Pelodiscus sinensis: one gene and its partner. The protein of the gene in region 1 purifies or fractionates together with the protein of each later gene. This does not show direct contact. Links are inferred from orthologs where the notes say so. Each region holds a gene or a part of one and is shown on either strand. Other genes may lie near its edges.

What was found. The genes of interacting proteins can lie anywhere in the genome.
Region 2: the proteins of ATP6AP2 (region 1) and ATP6AP1 purify together in Homo sapiens (affinity purification with mass spectrometry; 5 studies listed by BioGRID and IntAct, counting the BioPlex papers as one, with this or other methods). This does not show direct contact. The link is inferred for Pelodiscus sinensis from reciprocal best matches to the Homo sapiens genes ATP6AP2 and ATP6AP1.

What each region holds. Positions count from the first base shown.
Region 1 is NC_134711.1:195,336,937-195,347,474, reverse strand, and holds the start of ATP6AP2 (renin receptor), read left to right. Parts: upstream 1-6,024; 5' UTR 6,025-6,129; coding exon 6,130-6,178; intron 6,179-8,124; coding exon 8,125-8,255; intron 8,256-9,563; coding exon 9,564-9,692; intron 9,693-10,538. UniProt on the Homo sapiens protein: Multifunctional protein which functions as a renin, prorenin cellular receptor and is involved in the assembly of the lysosomal proton-transporting V-type ATPase (V-ATPase) and the acidification of the endo-lysosomal system.
Region 2 is NC_134711.1:40,835,718-40,845,533, reverse strand, and holds the start of ATP6AP1 (V-type proton ATPase subunit S1), read right to left. Parts: upstream 4,150-9,816; 5' UTR 3,888-4,149; intron 3,615-3,887; exon of another isoform or gene 3,501-3,614; intron 1-3,500. UniProt on the Homo sapiens protein: Accessory subunit of the proton-transporting vacuolar (V)-ATPase protein pump, which is required for luminal acidification of secretory vesicles.

The DNA.
Region 1 (10,538 bases):
ATCCCAGGAAACATCACAAAGAGCAGGTCAAGCTGTTAGTGATGATAAAACAAAGGAAGCAGAAGTCAAATCTTTATTTGTTATATGATATTCCACTCTGTATTCAAATTCCCTGTCCTGATCACATAATAGCTCTACTGCTGGTAATGCTTCACTCCACGCAACTGGAGGTGTTTTATAAAACAGGTATATGTAACAGCTACATAGAGGTTCATTAGACTCCAGAAGTCACTGCTAATGATTATTTCAAATCAAGTCTGTGTACATTTTCAGCTGGCTTTAAAACAATGTTTCTTGTCCCCTTCACTTAAGGATTCAAGTGTCTTCAGTCCAGACCTAATGAAGTCTTTGATTCTTCCCATTTGTTTTCAATGGATATTCCTCCGATTATCCAGCAACAAAACCTGCACTTGCATAAAAAAAAAATCTACTACTGTTGAGCATAAGCATAAGCTCTTTTCCATGAGATACACCAGTCTTTTGTAACTTCAAGAAATGGGAAAATTTTGACATGCAGTAACCAGGAACTATAGTTAGGTTGTAGAGACACTTTTTCTTCAGATGTAACTGTGCTGTGGGCTGTTTAGATGTATATATACCACTTGAAACTTGATGTGACATGTACGCATATTCTTGCTTCTTAGTATGTTTTTCATCTTGATTATTTTTTAGGCTTTTGAGTAGAAAAATTGTTTAGCTTTTTTAAGCGTTTTATCTTCACTTTGACCTGAAACACACAGAATATAAATAAAATGTAAGTTTTATTAGGATAATGCAAATTGAACATAACAATACAAATTTCACTAAAACATAATAGTTTTTAGATTTCTAAGCTATATCATAACTGTATTTAATGTAAATGACTTTTGAAATAATTTATAGTGTAAAAATAAAAATGTTTAATACAGAAACTCCTCAAGATAATGACTTCTTGAGATAACAATGGTGCATTTTAAAAATCTTTGTCCCCTGGGAAACACATTTATACAAGTTTCCCTGCCAGAAATCTAACATTCTGGAGCAAAGTCACTAAAATATAGTTCAACAAACAAATGTTCCTTTAACATTCCCCTTCCCACTCATAATCCTTGGTCAGTGGGGACCCAGAGTTCAAAGGTATTTTTGCCTGAGTTCATCTTCCACCTTGGAGAATCAGGGTTGAAGAGAAGGGTAGAAGACACTTTGGTTCATTGTTCCAACTGCTGCTCAATGTTCCTTCTCATTTTTTTCTTCCATGTACTGATTACATTTTATTATGTGCACCAAGGCATATGCATATGTGCACCATCAGTAGTAATCCATGCTGCTAGCTGTGGGTGCTCTGCTAGTCAATTGGGCAGCAGTAGAATCTCTCCTGGGTAGCCACTCAAAGGCTCAGCTTACAGGGAACTTACTGCTGTTGTTCATTGTGCCACTGTTCCATCATCTACTTAATTGTCAATGGCTCTGCACCAGAATTCCCTCTAACATTTTCTTTCCTTGGGCAGCTTGAATTTTCTTATGTACAACACCAATATTGAGGTAGTGTATGGATGTGCACCACCATTACAAACAAAACACATACATTACAAATATATATATTTTAAGCAGTCCATATGTATGGAAGAAAGATATATTAAAACAAGACACCTGTGTCTAGTTGCTGTAAGGTACCCTTAATGACTACAAAGGTTCTGTACAAAGGTAGGAAATTAACACATGGCTTCAGAGTTTGTAGACAGATGCATGTTTCAAAAAGCTTGCAAATAAGGTTTCATTCTACAAAACTAGCATCACACCTAGTACTTTTTATTTCTGATTCATAAGAGTCAAAACTCTACCACATAGCAAAGATCTGACCTTAATGCAATACAATCTACCATGTATTAATTAGTAAGCAATACAATCTACCATGTATTAATTAGTAAGCAATACAATCTACCATGTATTAATTAATGCAATACAATCTACCATGTATTAATTAGTAACACAGGATTTTAAAAAAACATTAAGATCCGAATTTTAGATAGATGCAACACTCCAAAAAAAGTGTTAAAAATCTCTTTCTTACCTTGAGCCATTAACACCTCTGTAAACTTTGTTTGAAATGTAATCATGAAAATGTTCTCCTGGCACACAACCCCTGCCATGTAGCCTGCTTTCCCCCACTCCCTCCAACCCAGCCAGAAAGGACTGCTGCAAGTAAATCAGGACACCCTAACAAACTGCCCCCTACCTCCATCTACCTGCACAGATGCCAGCACCCACCAGCCTCTCTTCCCCCACCTACCCCATGCAGTCATTCCCTTACCTCCCCCTTCCCAGCCCAGGAGGATTGAACAGAGTGCTGGGTTTCTGCCTTTGTCTTCCTTTCTCTCTCTTTCTTTCCCTCCTGGGGCAGACAGGACTCTCAAAACTCCCGCTCCCCCAAGCAAATTAATTAATTATTCCCTCCCCCAAGACAGGTGTGTCCTGCTTATCTGCTCTGGGAGTTCTTCTGTTCAGCATGCAGCAGCTCTGTTTAGCTGCTGCTTAGAGACACCCCACTACCCCCCTGCCAGTCAGCTGATCTCCCTGCCTGTGCAGGAGCTGTGAACCTCTGAGGGGGCTCAGAAAATAGCTGTGCAGTCATGCAGCTTAGAGGGAACTTAGCCTTGCACTATTACCTTCTGCTGCCACATGCCTCGCTCCTGTGACCTCTGTGAGTTGGGCATGTCTTCACTACCTACTGGATCGATGGGCAGCAATCAATCCAGCGAGAGTCAATTTATTGTGTCTAGTATAGATGTGATAAATCGACCAATGAGCATTTTCCTGTCAAATCTGGTACTCTACCAAAATGAGAAGAGTAGGCAGAGTTGATAAGAGAGTGTCAGCTGTCATCTTACCGCAGTAAACAGATCTAAGTACATTGATTTCAGCTATATTATTCACATAGCTGAAGTTGTGTCACTTGGGTCGATGGCCTGCAGTAGTATACACAAGACATTGGTCTCTTGCGGTACCAGCCAGCTCTCAACGATTTCAGCTCAGAGTGGGAAAACCTCCCTGCTAGTGCAGTCTAGGCAGAGTCTTCCACAGAAACATTATTTCATGGAAGGTCTAAGCACTTATATCTGTTTATCAGCTCTAGTGTCCCTTAACAAAACAAAAGCTTCTCAATGGAGCCCAATCAACTCTATCTTTAAACAGAAGAGAGGCAGATCAAATGATACCTATGACTCTTAGGCAGGGCCCATACTACTAGCCAAAACAACAGTCCTCACTCTCCACTGGAATCTGGCATCTGAACTCTTTACTTGGTGATTTCAAAAACAAAGACCCCTATGGCACCTTAGATACTATCTGATTTATTAGGGCATAAGCTATCATGGGTAAAACTCACTTCATCAGATGAACTAGAGTGGAAATTACAGAAGCAGAAGTTGAGACTGGCCCCTTAATCAGGGCAGGCTAAGTACAAATTTTCTGCCCTTTACTCATACAATAGGGATAACAACATTTCATTATCCCTACCTTCAATTTAATTTTTTTATTAAAGTTAACATTAAAATGATCTAATATACAGACAAGAAAAGCTTTTTATACATATGGGTACAATACTTAAATTATCCAAAAGTATAAAATTTGGTTTGAAAAGTCTTAAAGTAAATAAAGTACATGATCTGCAACATCCCAAGTTAAAGTTAATTTAATATTACAGTTTAAATACTATCATCCAAATATTTGGCTATATCACACATAAAAAGTTAAATGAAGTGCAGCTTGTGGAAAGCAAAAGGTAATTTGTAACCTAACAACAGCCAAAATTGATTATGTGGGCAACACAACTAGTCTGCTGGATACATAGGCAAAGTAGGTGCATTTATGTAAATACAGTCAGGTCCTGAAGATCAGTGGAGAGCTCATTAAGACCTCAATTTCAAACTGTTATCTACATAAGACTGGCCATACTGGGTCAGATCAAAACTCCAACTAGCCTAGTATCCTGTCTGCCAACAGTGGCCAATGTCAGATGCCCCAGAGGGAAAGAACACAACAGGCAATCATCTCGTGATCCCTCTCCTGTCATCCATTTCCAGATGAACAGAGGCAAGGGACACCATTCCTACCCATCCTGGCGAATAGATTCATGGAGGATAGACCCGTCCATGACTATCTAGCTCTTTTTTGACCTTGCAATTCTTTTTGAATTTGTAAGCATTAGGTCAGCCAACATTGCCGAAATGAATGTGCCAACACAGTCATAACTCACACAGTTGTGTGAGGAAGCTAGTCCTTCATACTATCCAAACCTATGAGGGTTATCGAACTCTTGCTACACCGGTTATGACCACCACACAGAAGCAGGGCTCATGTACCAACAGCACCTTCCTACGACCAATAAGAATCAGTCACTGCATCGAGAAGGCCGCCAGAGCCATGAGCAAAGGCTGAGAACATGCTGAAGGATGCTGGGCGTTGTTTCCAAGCTCCCACTCCCCTTCACTACAGTCAGGCCCATGTACAGCCCAGCGGCTGCCCCAATCTCAGTGCCCCACAGGCAGCGCTGCCACAAAGCAACTGTCACCGGCCCACATCATTCCCGGAGGAGGCGGGATTAGGGCAGCAGTCAGGGCTACAGAGCCCCTGCCCTGAGCAGACACATGGCCGAGCCAGGAAATGGCTGGATGCCCCCATGCTGAGAGCAGACCTCAGCTGCCCCTCACACTCTCACCTGACCCTTTCCACACTGCTGTATAGTAGAGGGTGGAGCGGCACTCCCTTACATTGTGAGTGGTTAACTTAACTGTCAATCAAATTAATGCCTGACTTGCAAAGCCTGTCACCTGCCCTATTATGGTGGGGAGGGGGTAAAAGGAGAGAGGCAGGTATCTCCCTTACTGTGAGTGAAAAACAGGACTATGTAGCACTTATAGACTAACAAGATGGTTTATTAGGTGATGAGCTTTTGTGGGCCAGACCCATTTCCTCAGATCAAATTGTGGAAGAAAATAGGCATGACCATATATACCCGTGGTCCCCAATGCGGTGCCCGCAAGCACCATGGCGCCCACCGACCCATTTCTGTGCACCTGTCAAATGATCGGGGCCGAACCCGCCCCCAGGCGCTCAGCACATGGTCAGTGCCGGCCCTGGGCGCGCGGCGGTTAGGCGGCCCCACCCCCGGGGGCGCGGGAGAGGTCAGTGCTGGCCCCGGCCCTGGGCGTTTGGCGCATGGGTGGCACCAGCTCCAGGCATGCAGCATATGGGCGGCCCCGCCCCCGCGTGCCCGGCATGTGAGCAGCCCCGGCCCTGGGCGCCCGGCAGCCCCAAAAGGTTGGGGACACTGAACGGGCTACAGTCACAAAAAGTGAGCACGTATGAAAAGGGCCTTTTCTGCTCATGCCAATTCTCTTCCACTAGTTGATCTGAGGAAGCGGGTCTGGCCCACGCAAGCTCATCGCCTAATGAACCATCTTGCCAGTCTCTAAAGCAGGGGTCCCCAACCTGTGGTGGTGGCCGGGCGCCAGGGGGCGGGGACGGGGCCCCCCATAGCCGCGCGCCCCCCCCCCATAGCTGCGCCCGGGGCCGGCGCCCCCCGCCCCAAGCGCCACGCGCCCGGGGCCAGGCCAGCCCCGAACACGTGGCGGGCGCACACGAATGCCCCCGCCCGCGGGCACCGTGTTGGGACCACGGCTCTAAGGTGCTGCATGGGCCTCTCTTTTGTTTCCGCTACACCAGCCTAACTCGGCTGCATCTCTATCGCTACTGTGAGTGGTCACATCAGCTGTCATTTATGAGACAATCCCATTTCCTGCTGCAGAGACCCCGCCCAGGCGGTAGTGACTGGCTGTGCGGAGATCCCTCACAGTTTAAACGGCCACGTCGGGTGTCATTCAAAGAAAAGCACCGCCTCCTTCTCAGGGGCGGGCTGTAAGTTCCGGGGCAGTGGCGTACTGCGAAGAGGTGAAAGGGGACCACTATGAGTGGTCGGATTTCCTGTCACTCAGAGAAAAACCCCGCCCCTCATCCCACGGAACGACCGGACGGGCGCTCTGTGAGTGGCTGGCGGGGCTGTCAGTCAGCAGATCCAAGGGGCGGGATTTGTGGCCTGGGTGTGGGAGGCCGGCGGCGCTCGGCTCAGTCTCCCAGCTGCGGCGGTGCGGGATGGGGCGGGCCGGGATGCTGCTCGGGGCCCTGGCGGCGTTCCTGGCTGGTAGGGGGCAGAGCGCGGGGCCCAGGGCCGTTGGCGCGGCACGCGGGGCGGTAGCGCTGGGGAACAGCGGGAGGCGGGTTCGGGGCCCGGCGCTGCCGGTTCTTGTGCCCCGCTGGCTGCGGCGCCGCCCCCGTGACTCCCCTCGGAGCCGGCGGCGGCTCTTCCCGGGGCGAGCCGGGCGGCTCCTCGCGCGTGACCCGGCCGCGGGTGCCTGCAGCCGAGCCTGGCGGTGCCGCCGAGCGCGCTCGGGCAGCCGCATCGGCACCCCGGCCCTGGGGGTTCTCGCGGTCCCCAGGTGCTTCGTGCCTCGCCCGCGTTAGGAATTGATGCCCGAGCTATGCCCAGCCCTTCTCTACAGCCGCGGTTGGGAGCCGTCCCCGCGCTCCTCGGAGGTGCTGCGCTTGGGCTTTCCAAGGGACTTGGCTCAAAAAGTGCCCTCGGTATGGGACACGGACCGTCTCTCTTCACACAGCTGCCCTTGAGGGCCGCAAGTTGAGACGTCAGTGTTATAGGCGTGACCCCAAGTGTTAATGCTAGAAATTTCTGGCCTAGCGAAGAGTTTCCTCTTAACCCAGAAAGTGACTCTTTGTGATTACATTACCCCTTGGATGTTCAGATAGAAATATGCTTGATGACTTGCAACCCACAGCTGTGTTGCAGGTTTAACTGACTGCTTAGCTCAATGAGTCATTTTGGTCAAATGATTATAGCATAGCTGGAAAAACGGTTGGATCCCGAAATGCAGTTTTTGTTTCACTGTGACCTTGAACAAGTTACTTAACTAATTTGTGCCTGACAACCTGGCAAGGAAAATAGAGCTTTTTCTTTTTAAAAAAAATCCAATGTCACATAGCATATCTAAGCCAAATTGCACAAAGTAAATTGTGTGAATGTCTGGTAGCTTGAAAAGTAGAGATGTGACTGGGTAACAGTAAGCTGGTTCCCAGGAGCAGCCCCTTTTCCCCTCCAGCCTCCCTGAAACCTGCTGCCGCTGGAAGGCTGCTCTAACCCCAGCACAGCCAGCGTGTTGTGGCTGGGGCCAGGAGTCAGTGCTTAGTTAGTTAACCTAATGTTTAATCAATTAGCTGATTGATCAAGATTTTACATGCCTATTGTAAAGTAGTAAATAAACATATTTAAGTCAACAGGCTACCAATATTATTATTGTTAACCTGACTATAGTTTGCCCCATCTCATTGACCCAGGAAAATAGTCCCTAGGAAGGAGGGTTGCTACTCAACTAAAACTGCAGCTGCTCAGCAAGATGAGCTGCTATCAATAAAAAAATGCATTTGACAAATGTCTGTAGATTGACCTGTTCCTTTGTTCTTCTGCCTGTGTCATTGTTTTGAAGGCAACAATGTGAAATTTTTGTTTGAATTAGGTGCACATCCTTGAATCACACTGTTCTGTTGGTGTATATATCATAATATGGCATGTATTTACTGTCAACACTCACATAGAATTTGATTCTGAACTAGGTTTTGGAGCATACCCTCCCCCTACCCACAAGGTCAAAATGGTATACCTAATTGAATAATTTAGCAATAGAGTCTCTTTTATGCATTTGTGTCTTCACTTTGTTTGATACCTTAATTTATCTATACACAACTCTATACTGGAATTTTCCATGGTGTCCTGATACCTGAAATTAATGACTCTCTTTAGCTGTCTCTCTTAACTTGGTAGATATGTGCATTGGAAGGCTGAAAATCAGAAAGAGTTTGTTACAATTCATGTCTGCTCACAAGGTTTTAAGAAACACATGCTTTACTCACGCATCTGACAAAGTAGGTCTTTGCCCATAAAAGCTTATGGCCAAATAAATCTGTTTAATCTTTAAAGTGCCACAGGACTCCTTATTGTTTTTGCAGGAACAGACTAACATTGCTGTCCTTCTGATACATGCTTTACCAGACTTGCCTGTCTATTATTTCTCTTTTTAGGTGTTTCCGGTGATGAATTTAGTGTCTTACGATCACCACAATCTGTCATTTTCCGAGATGGAAGTTGGCCAATACCAGGGGAGCGGATCCCAGACATAGCAGCATTATCCATGGGCTTTTCTGTTGAAGAAGTATGTTTATTTTTATTTTGAAAAAGCTGTAAAATTCACATTAGTTGGTTTGGAGAGCTTTGAATTATAGTTGTGCACAGATTTTTTTTTTTAAATGTGGTAGAAATAAAGTAGGAACTAGTAAGACGGACTAAGAGGAAATTCAGAAACCTCGGGAATCTAACTCGTGGTCTCCCTCTTCTCCAACGAAACTGTTATTAACGGCCTAACTGCAATATAAATGTTTAACAATAAAATGTCTACTGGGCCATTTGTGTTCTGTCTTTTGGACTATGAAAACACCCTGTTGACACTTGCTATCTTGAAATTAAGAGCAGAACTTATATAGAATAGTTCTGGTAATTTAATCCATTACACTGATTAGGGTTGATCATGTACTCTGCGTGCTGAATGTCTGCTTGAGGCACAAGGTAAAATCAAATGCTCTTTGGCAAAAGAGGCATCTTGATTTTTCACACGCTGCTCTTCCTGGGGTATCTGGGATATGAAATGGGAAAATGTATACTCTTTGTGGCAGTCTGTTCTTTCTTCTAAGGTTGGTATTCCCCCCCCCCCCCCCCTTAACTGTGAGGTCCCTTGGATCCACCCAAAATTGGCTGCCCCTTGTTTCCCTTCCTACAAAGAACAGAATGTCAAGAATGGGGAAGGAGAACTCTCCAAATCCTCTTCTCAGAAAAACAAATACACGGAGTGAAAGTAGATATCAATATAGTAATTAGGCCTTTGATCGATCTATCTTGAATGTCAGAATCATTAACCTTTTATTGTTTATAGTTGTATCAGAAACATCATGGCAATGTATTTTCCTTTGTGACTAGATATTATTCAATCACAAACATGTATTTGAGTAAAAATATTCCTCCAGCAAGGTGCATTCTAGAGAAGCCTACAGAGTTCTTCAAATCATGGGAAGTTGCTTTTAATATCACTACTGTAGTAAATGGACTTGTTCAGTGAATCTTGTGGAATTTAACAGTTTTGGCTGTGAAATCTGATTTAGTAGCTACAAAGCAGTTAAGTCAACATTGCACAGTATGTGAACGGCGCTTTTTCTTACAGTAAAGTTGTGGAGGGCTTTCTCATACGGAATTAATGAAGAAACATCCTGGGGGGGACCACAATTTTTTGTGGGGTGAAGAATCGTTTCAAATGTTTAGATTCCCTACTAAGTTTCCAGTGGGTTTTCCAATCAAGAGTCATATACCACTGCAGATTCTCTGCATTAATCTTTTGATATTGTTTGAGCTGTTTCTTTTTCCTTTGATTTAAAAGCTAAACAAAAGTTTTTGCTTTAAAATTTGTTTCCAGGATCTTTCCTGGCCTGGGCTTGCAGTGGGTGATATATTCCATCGTCCTCGCGCTACTGTTCTTGTGACTGTAAAGGGAGTAGACAAGCTGGTGATGCCTAAAGATGGAGTTTCTTATCCTGTTGAGAATGTAAGTATCTGCAGTTTTTTTATTTTTATCCCTCTGTTGTTTATACTTCTGTTCATATTGAAAGTATTCCTTGGTGTTCAAAAAACCCTCCAAAAACTAACTTTTCACCAGTTACGCTTTTTATGTCAGTCACATAGCTTTTCATGGATTCAGAGAATTAAGACCAGGAGGGACCATTAGATTGAATCTGACTTCCTGGATATCACAGTAAACTTCACTGAGTTATCTTGGCGTTGAGTTGAATAACTTGTTTGACTAAAGCATGTCTTCCAGAAAAGCATCTAGGTTTGTTCTGATGACATCAGGAAATGAAAGATCCACTACTACTATTAGTAGTTTGTTCCAATGTTAAAATTGCCCTCGCTGTTAAAAAATTGTCTCATTTCCAGCTTGAATTTGCCTGACTTCAGCCTCCAACCATTGGCTCTTGTGCTTTCCTCTGCTAGGTTAGAGCCCTTTAACATACCTGATGTCTTCTCCATGTGAAAATACTTAAACTGGGTACTTAAGTCACCTTTCAATTTTTTTGATAAATTAAACAGGTTCCCTTTAAATCTTTAACTACCGTATTTTCCGGCGTATAGGGCGACTGGGTGTATAAGACGACCCCCTATCTTTTTAATTAAAAGATAGGGTTTCATCTTATACCCCAGCGCCCTTCCGCCTCCTTTGCTCCCGGTGTCCCTGGTCTGCTGGAGATGGTCCCCAGCAGACCAGAGGCACCGGGAGCAAAGCCGCCAGGAGCGCCTGGGCTCCCCCCCGCCGGAGCCCCTCCGCGGCTTTGAAAGCCTCGGGGAAGCCGGCGGCTGGGCATCCCAGGCGCGCATGGGCTGCCCGCCCGCCAGA
Region 2 (9,816 bases), about 150 Mb from region 1:
ATGTCACCAACACCTAATTTCAGCCAGCAAATCCCAAAATCACTTTATTCTGGGTATAACTGGTGATGCTGACTGTACAAAAGGATTATGATTTTCTCTACTGATTCTAGGCTAGGTGACTCAAATATTTTCTCCGTCACAAGAGTTACTTTTGCTGCCAAATCAAGGTATTCTTATCCGGGTATCTTGAACTTTAATCTGAAAAAACGATCTTCTGGCAGGACTGTTCAGGATAAAGTCTTCTGGACAGAGGTTCCCTGAACTCCATATTAAGAGTAGATAATTCAGAATCAAAGGATTTTCCTGACACAAAACCCTCCTGCTAGCAGAATGACTTTTCATTCTAAATTACAAGAGGGTTGCTTTCATAGGTCAAATATTTTACTTCAGCCTGACAAATACTAAGGATCCAACCTAATGTGTTACTGGGTCCTAGTCAGCTAGCTGGAGGAAGTGGCTCCCATGTGGCGGCCAGGAAACTGGGACCTTCTTGTGCTTCCCGTCTTGCACTCCTTGTAATAAGGCCATAAATTGTTCTAGCTTGGTGTCAATCACCTACACCCTTGATCTTGGCCTGTTTATTTTGTCTTTTCAGAGTCCTACCATCTACAGTCTAAACTTTCTGTGGCTATGTTGGGCACACAAACCCTATTGGCTAAGACTCCCCTCCACCCCCACTCCCACCCAAGCCTTGACCCCCACATTTTATGGAGAATGGCTTCTTGTTGGAGATTAGGTCTCTGCCTTCAGCTGTAGCTCAGCTCTCCCAGGGTCCAGAGCATAACACTTAGAGATGTTAGTATGTAATTGAATAGTCATGTAATTGCATGCAATTTTAGCAGTTACACGACTATTCACTAGTCCCTGGGGGTGGAGCAGGCAGCCAGTGTACTTCCCACCCCACTTCCAGGGAGCTCCCTGCCACTCCCTGCTACTGACTCGCTATCAGAGGCAGTGTGGGATTGCAGGTGGGAACTGGTCCCCTAGTCTTCCAGAAAGTCTTTGACAAGGTCCCTAACCAAAGGCTTGTAAGCAAAGTAATCTGTCATGGGATGAGAGGAGAGGTCATCTCATGAGTTCATATCTGGTTAAAGGATAGGAAATAAAGGGTAGAAACAAGTGGTCAGTTTTCAGAATGGAGAGCGATAACTAGCAGTGTCCTGCAGGGGTCCATACTGGGACCAATCCTATTCAACATATTCATAAATGATCTGAAGAATAGGATAAAGAGTGAGGTGGCAACATTTGCAGATGATACTAAACTGCTCAAGACAGTTAACTCCAAAGGAGACTGTGAAGCTCTTCAAAAAGATCACACAATAGTAGGTGACTGGACAAGAAAATTGCTGATGAATTTTAATGTTGATAATGCAAAGTAATGCATATTGGAAAACATAATTGCAACTATATGTATAAAATGACTAATTTAGTTGTTACCACTCAAGAGAGAGATCTTGGAGTCATTGTAATTTTCTGAAAATATCAACTTAATGTGCAGCTGCAGTCAAAAAAGCAAACAGAATGTTAGGAATAATTTAAAAAGGGTTATAAAATAAGACAGAGAATATTTTATTGTCTCTATATAAATCCATGATATGTCCATATCTTGAATATTGCATGCAGATGTAGTTACCTCATCTCAGAAAAGATATCTTGGCACTGTAAAAAGTTCAGAAAAGGGGAAAAATGTGGACGTAATTGCCAGAGGAGGTTGTGAAGGCCAGGAATTTAACAGGGTTAATAAAGAACATGATGAACTCGTGGAAGGTAGGTCCAGAAATGGCTATTAACTAGGATGGGCAGAAATGTTGCCCCTACCCTCTGTTTGTCAGAAGCTGGGAATGGGTGGATCACTTGATGATTACCTGTTCTGTGCATTTCCTTTGGGGCATCTGGCATTAGCCATTGTCACGAGACAGGACACTAGAGTAGAAGGTCCTTTGGTCAGACTCACTATGTCAATTATTGTGTACTTACGTTCTTATGTGTGTATAACTAGACAGAAGGGCATATCAACAGGGTCCTACAAGGATCAGTTCTGATGCTGGTCAATATCTTCATCAATGGTTTAGAAAATGACATAGAGAATTAATTTATAGATGATGCCAAATTGGCTCATACCTGCTATCCCAGGTTGGATTAAAATATAAATGATCTGGACAAACTGGAGAAATGGTCTCAAGTAAATAGGATGAAATTTAATAAGGACAAAAGCAAAGTACTCAATTGAGGAAGAAACAATGAATTGCACACATTCAAAATGGGAAATGACTGCCTCGGACAGAATATTGCAGAAAGAGATCTGGAGGTCACAGTGGATCACAAGTTAAGTATGAGTCAACAGTGTAACGCTGTTGCAAAAAATGCCAATATAATTCTGTGATATATTAGCAGGAATGTTGTAAGCAAGAGACTAGAAGAAATTCTTCATCTCTACTCTGCACTGATATGGCCTCAACTGTGTCCAATTCTGGGTGCCATATTTCAGGACAAATGTGGATAAATTTGAGAAAGTCCATAGAAAAACAACCAAAATTATTAAAGGAATGTAAAATATGACTGTAAAAAAAAACTGAAAAAATTGGATTTGTTTAGACTGGAGAAGAGAAGACTGCAATGGGATATTATATCAGTTTAGAAGTACATAAAAAGTTGTTGCAAGGAGGAGGAAGAAAAATTGTTCTCTTTAACCTCTAAGGATAGTAAAAGAAGCATTTGATTTAAATTGCAGCAAGGACGGTTTAAGTGGACATTAGGAAAAATTCCTGTTGATTAAACAAAGACTGTGAATGGCTTGCTAACTACAAAAGCAGCTTCTGCTCTCTTGGAATTCACACCTCCAGATCAGCTACTAGAAGTGGGCCTCATCCTCCTTGATTGGATCCATCTCGTCATCTCCAGCGTGATCCTGGCCTGCATATTTATACCTGCCTCTGGAAATTTCCACTACATGCATCTGATGAAGTGGGTCTTTGCCCACAAAAGCTTATGCTCTTACACTTCAGTTAGTCTATAAGGTGCCACAGGACTCCTCGTCGCTTTTGCAGTTTCAGACTAACACGGCTACCCCTCTGATACTTTTGTTACAAAGTATCTTTTATTTTAAAAAATTATAAGTAACCCCAATGCACCCACCTCTCCCCCCAGAGCCAGCCCCTCATCAGCGTCCCCCCATCCCAATGCACTCACGCCTCCCACAGAGTCAGCCCCCCATCCCAAAGCACTCACCCCTCCCCCTGAGCCAGCCCTCCCAGTATCCCCCATCCCAATGCACTCACCCCTCCCCAGAGCCAGCCCCCCCCAGTGTCCCATCCCAAAGCACTCACCCCTCCCCCTGAGCCAGACCTCCCAGTGCCCCCATCTGAATGCACTCACCCCTTCCCCTGAATGAGCCCCTGCCCCTCAGTGCTGGGTGCACCCCTCCCCCCATCAAATCCTTCCCCCAGCCACCTCAGAGCCAGGCACAGGAGGAACGGAACAGCTGGGTAAGGGAATCTAACCTTTAAAGTGGCCGCTGCTGTCACCCGGCCCTTCTGCCTCAGCTCACAGACTGTAGAGAGCCTGAAGCACTTAGCCAACTCTCAGTCTCTGTTCAAAAGCATCATGTGGGCCAGAACAGCTGTGCGCTTCACTCCCAGCCCAGCGCCCCCTAATGTAGCACCAGGGGGCAACTGCCCTCCCCCAACCTTCTTCGCTACGCCTCTGGCGGATGGGAACACTTGCTCTCATCGGCCTCCTGCTGTGTGAACGGTGTGGAAATATGATTTAAAATACATCAACTCCAGCTATGTAGTTAACATAGCTGGAATTGAGTATCCTAATTTGAACTCCCACTATAATGTAGACCAGGCCTAAGTGGAAGTAAAAGTGAAAGAAATAACACTCACAATTTGATATTTCCAAGAGTGGTGACTAGCAGTCTTCTTCCATGCTTCAGGAAGCAGATTTTCCACAGGGAAAAGGGAAGATAGTTTGCTCTTTCTGTGACACCTGAAAGCTTTCTTGAAGGTAAAATGGAAATGTGAAGCTTTTTATCTTGCAGCTTTACCAAAACTCTTATGTGAATTCTCTGGTCTAGACTTCAGGTTCTGGCTTGCTGAAATAGTATGTTTCACTGAACTTCCCTAATTCTTTCAACAGGAAACTCCACCTCACTTTTTCAGCCTGTGAGAAAGGAACTTCCTTTTCCCTTTTTCAGCTTGTTAACTCTTTAAGAACCTTTTTATCTTAGACAGATGGGACACAAATATGCTATTCAAAAATGCCTCTACACTTTTTAAAAATATTTCTCTTCAAGTGACTAACATGGGCTTCTTGCCTGGTTTGCCAAATTTGAAATAACAAAAGGGCTTCCTAAACCTGAGTCAAATGATTTGTTAATGCTTCATCAAAGTCCCTTTAATTAAGAGTATTTTTACTTCATCATCATTTGAGAAAAACAATTTGTGTATTTGTATGGCCTTTAAAAGCATAAACATCAAAGACCAATCACATATATAGTAGCCCAGTGTCTGTGAGTCTGTAACACTGACGTACACGGCCATGCCCTATGTGTGTCAGCGCCCCGCCCCCCTTCCCCTCCTGCCAGGGTGCTCTGCTGAGTGCTGCCCTGCTCAGCTGGGCCCCAGCGGGGGAGCAAACGGTGGCAAGCACCGCTCCAGCTGGGCCCTGGTGGGAGGGGAAGGGGGGTGGGGCACTGATGTACACGGCCAGGGGGTGTGGCTGTGAATGTCACCACCCCGCCCCCCCTTCCCCTCCCGCAGTGGCACTCAGCTGGGCCGCTGCAGGGAACGTTTGGGCGGGAGGGGAAGGGGGGCGGGGCAGTGATGTACACGGCTCCGCTCCCTGGCCATGTTCATCAGTGCCCCGCCCCCTTCTCCTCTCCCTCCCCAGTGGCCCACTTCATTGGTGGGGGGGACCAGCCAAGAAGGGAGCAGTGCTGGCCGGGAAGGGGGGAGGCAACAGATGGGGGGGCCAACGGGAAGCAGGGCTGGTTGTGGGGGAGAGTCGGGCAGAACAGGGCTGGCCGTGGAATATCAGAGGGTGGGGGAGACCAGCCAGGAGGGGCCAGGGCTGGCCAAGAGTAAGGGGGGGTGGGAAGCACAGCTGAGGAGGATGGGGGCCACGAGGGTAGCTGGAAGAAAGGGTGGGGGTGGGAAGCAGAGCTGGCGGTGGGCGGGTGCAGTGGCGCTGGCCGGGGAAATCAGGAAGAGGAACGGGCCAGCAGGAAACAGAGCTGGGGGAGGCGATCGGGGGCCGGGAGGGTGGTCGGGAGGAAGGGGGAGTGGGAAGCACAGCTGCCAGAGGTGGGGAGAGGTGCAGCGGTGCTGGCGGGGAGATCAGGAAGAGGAACAGGCCGGTGGGAAGCAGAGCTGGGGGGTAGCTGCAGGGGGGCTGGCCAGGGAAGATCAGGAGGGGAAGTGGGGGAGAACCGGCCGGCTGGGAAGTGGGGGTTGAGCAAATTGGCAGGCGGGGAGAGGGACTGACCTGGGCACTTGCTGCCTGTCCCGCGCAGGGTCCGGGAAAGGCACGAGCGAGGAGGAGGCTTCCCCTCCTCCTCACACTCAACCGACTAAGGGCTCCCAGAGGCAATTGCGGTCCTGTCTTCCAGCTGGGACTCCCAGCCGCTCCCTCTGTCCATGCCAGGCAGAAGAGAGAGTTACTCACCTTGTATAGTACCTGAGGGTACATCTACACTAGCTCATTAGTTCGAGGTAGGTAGGGTAATGAGGGCAAGCGGAGTTGCAAATGAAGCTCGGGATTTAAATATCCCAGGTTCATTTGCATGTTCCCGGGCACCACCATTTTTAAATCCCCCTTAGTCCGAACTCCGTGCCCGCGGCTACACACGGCATGGACTAGGTAGTTCGAATTAAAGATCCTAATTTGAACTACCGTTACTCCTCATTCCACAAGGAGTAACGGTAGTTCAAATTAGGATCTTTAATTTGAACTACCTAGTCCGTGCTGCGTGTAGCTGTGGGCACGGAGTTCGAACTAAGGGGGATTTAAAAATGGCGGCGCCCGGGAACATGCAAATGAAGCCCGGGATATTTAAATTCCGGGCTTCATTTGCAACTCCGCTTGCCCTCATTACCCTATCTACCTCGAACTAACGAGCTAGTGTAGCCGTACCCTAAGGTTCTTTAAGATGGTTGTCTGTGTGGATGTTGCACCTTAGGTGTCTGGCGTGCCTCTGTACCTTTAGATGGAGAATTTAAGTAGCAGTGCCCTTGGAAGGCTGTTCATGCAGGGCAGCCAGCATGTACTAGTGCAGCTACTCTGCATGCGCAGCCAACTGTCCCTTCAGTTCCCTGTCTGCCACAGAAATTGGTGACTGTGCAGCAGAGGGGAAGAAGGGCAAGTGATGGAGCACCCACAAAGACAACTGTAAGGGGACTGTTACCCCTTACTAAAACTCTGTGGGAGTTTTTGGTTTACCAGCTTCAGAAGGGGAAGGGTTCATGAGACTGACAGACCCCAGAGACAATGGAAAGCAGTCAACACTCCAGCTCAGCCTGACTGACAGGTTGTAAGTGGGGATTGTTCTGGCTCTGTCTCTGAACAAACAAGCTGTGTGCAGAAGAGGTCCTGCAAAGACAGAGAGCTGAAAGAGGAGTACAAGAAGAAGTCCTGCAGTGACAGAACCAGACACAGACAGGCCAAGCAGTGCAGACCCTGTGTTGAGCAGCAGACTGGCAGTGCTCAGAAAGCCAAAAGGAACAGAGAAACAACACAAGGAGCTGGAACTGGCCAAGCAGCACAGCCTGCAGCTGGATGTGGTGAGCTACTGGGACCTGCAAAGTGTGGGGAAAGGCTCTGGACTGGGAGAGGGGTCTGGCCACTTAGAGACTGAGGCTGTGTGGTCACTGCCAGTGCAAGCGTGTCCAGCCTGCAGCCCCTTGCAGCACATCCAGGGCTTCTAAGGAAGAGACTGTGAACTGTCCTTACACTCTGCAGACTGCTGTGTTGATGTCCCTGTGCTACAGAGCAGGGCTGTGTGTTCTCATTTAACCATTCTCATTGTTTCTTATTCTATTCTCTTTAATCAGTTGATGTTTAATAAATTGTATTTGCTTTGAACCTTATGAAGTGATCACTGGGCCAAGAAGGCCTGCAGTGTAAAGAGAGCACCTCGGAGTGGGGACACCCTAACTCCAGCCCCTAGTGACTACAAGGTCAGGGATTAAGCCCCAGGAAACCTGGGCCCAGCCTTGTTGGGGTTTCAAGGGCTCTGCTACTCAGGAGAGTGGAGGGGGAGCCCTCAGGATCAGGGAACCGTGGGGTAAAGGAAGTGGGAGCGGGGACTCAGATCCTTTCGCTGCTTCATTTCACCGGGGTGTATAGAAGCCAGGAAAGTTCCCCACAAGAGCGGGACCATTCCCCCGCTTACACAACCATTTTGAAGAATTTCAGTTTTTCTTTGAGGAACGTCCCCGTGGGAGCTTCATCTGATATCACTATGAAGCAGTACTTGTACTCGGAGGAGGGAGCTTCAGTTCATCGCTATCATGTATGGTGGCTAGTATTGTCTGGTTGAAGTGAGTGCTATGTGATAGGTAAGTTTCAAGTGGCAGCTCTACAAATGTCTGTCAGAGATGTTTTGTTCAGGTATGCTGTAGAGGTTGCCATTGCTCTTGTGGAAAGAGCATGTAGCTGTAGCGGAGGGTCCTGCCTGAAGGTACGGTAAGCCACTCTTATACAGTCAGAGCTCCATCTGGACAGCCTCTTTTTGGAAACTGGCATGCCCCTCGATCTTTCCATAATTGATACAAATAATCTTGGTGAGTTGCATATCTGTCTACTTCTATCTAAATAAAATGTGACTGCCTTGTAGACATCCAGTGTGGGTAGAGCAGCCTCTCCGCTACCAATAGTCCCTGACTTACGAATTAGTTACGTACCAAGCATTTGGTTGTAACTCAATCTGTTCGTAAGTAGGACCCCATTCATTTCAATGGGACCACGCTGTTCATAAGCACGGATTGTGTTCGTAACTCGGGGCTGCGCTTAATGGGAGGTTGGTCATAAGGACGAATGGTCATAAATCGATGCATTCGTACCTTGGGCACTACCTGTATCTGCATGGGGTTTCAGGAAGAAGACATGTAAGTAAATGGGTTCATTACAATGGAAGGGAGTTGGGACCTTCATGAGGAATTTGGGATATGGACAGAGAATGACTTTGACAAAGTCATACCAGTGTGCTTGGTACCGAGGTGACTTGTAGTTCCTCGCTGGTCCTGCAGTTGTCGATGCTGGAGATGGTGCCAGTGCTGATGGGGCTTGCTATGCCATTGGTGCTGAGTGCTTGTGTTTCTTCACTGCTAGGGGCAGCATGAAAGTGCTTGGTACTGAGCTGGAGCACAGCTTTTTTGGTGCCCATGAAGATTATTAAGGTATCGGCAGTGCCAACTTAAACTTTGACTTGCTCGGTACCTTAGAGCTGGCCCTAGTAGGGTTCTTAGCCCCTTGGGACATGTCAGTGCCTGATGGTCCTGGTGCCTCTCACTCCAGAGCCTTAGGTTCTGCTGGTACCAAAAGCATTTTTTGAGGTGATGCCCACTTTTTTGAGGGGGAGTCACCTCTGGAAGTTGAATGGGCTGGCTTCTTGGATTGCTGCTCCAATGCAGAGTCCCTGGTGCTTAATCCTTAGGGAGCTGGTTTTTCTGACACTGCCAACAGGGATGGCTGCCTGGGTGGTGTTGAGTGTTCAGGATCAGATGCTGGTCGTATAGTGTTTTCCAATAGGAGCAACTCCACCTGGAGCTCCCTGGCCCTTTCTTGCATGTGCTATGAGCTGCTTACAATGTTCACACTGTAGACAATTGTATCTTGTCTGAAATGGATATGGAAAGCTTGCAGGACAGGCAGCATTTGAAACCTGGGGAACCAGGCATCCCAGGAAGAAAAAACAGAAAAAAGGGGAAAAGGTCCAAACTAATAAAGAAAAAACTTTAAAAAAATTAACTAGAACAGTTAAACAGTCTAACAAACAACAACAACTAACACCACTATCTAACTCTATCTAATAAAATCTGAAAAATATCTGGAGGGCAGCTATCGGGTCTGACTGAAGCTGGTGGTGGCAGAGAAGGAACTGGAGGGATGGTTGGTTGCGCAGGCAAAGTAGCCACAGCAATGTGTGCTGGCTGCCTGCATGTGCAGCCTGCCAAGGGTACTTCTAGCTAAATTCTCTGACTAGAGACACAGTGGCGCTCCAGACACTCAAGGTGGAGCACCCACAGGGAAACTCCTTGAAGAATCTTTACATATATCAGAGCACTTTTAGTGACTGGTGCTTAAGATTTGCTTGGAACATTGTTTAATAGATGTCCAATTGTATCTTGCACTATCAGCTTATATGCATGTGCTATATTGGCCAGAAACACTCCAAAAAACTATGACAAGTCTTTCCTGACAGGCATCTGTGCCTGCGTGTTCTGTTAAAGAAACCTGACAAGGAGAAATTACTCGGGAAAAGAAAAGGAGACAGCTTTTCCGCTTGCTGGGTCTGTAGAACTTTAGAGCCAATCAGGGATTGTGTTCTGGAGAACTACACAATGTCTTTTGGATGAGATACCATCACACTAATGGATGTTGTTTCCCCCAGCCAATTGGCTGGTCTGTGGTATTTCCTTGGGACCAGCTCAGAGAAAAAAGGAGCATCAGCTGTCTGTTGCAATGACCTCAGGAAGAGCATACTTTTCTTCTTTCTTCCCCAGCTCTTTTAATGTTGAAATTTAAACTGGTAATATCCAAGAGGACCTTCCTGGAGATTTAAGTGCAAGGGAGGGTAGGAATTGCATATGGATT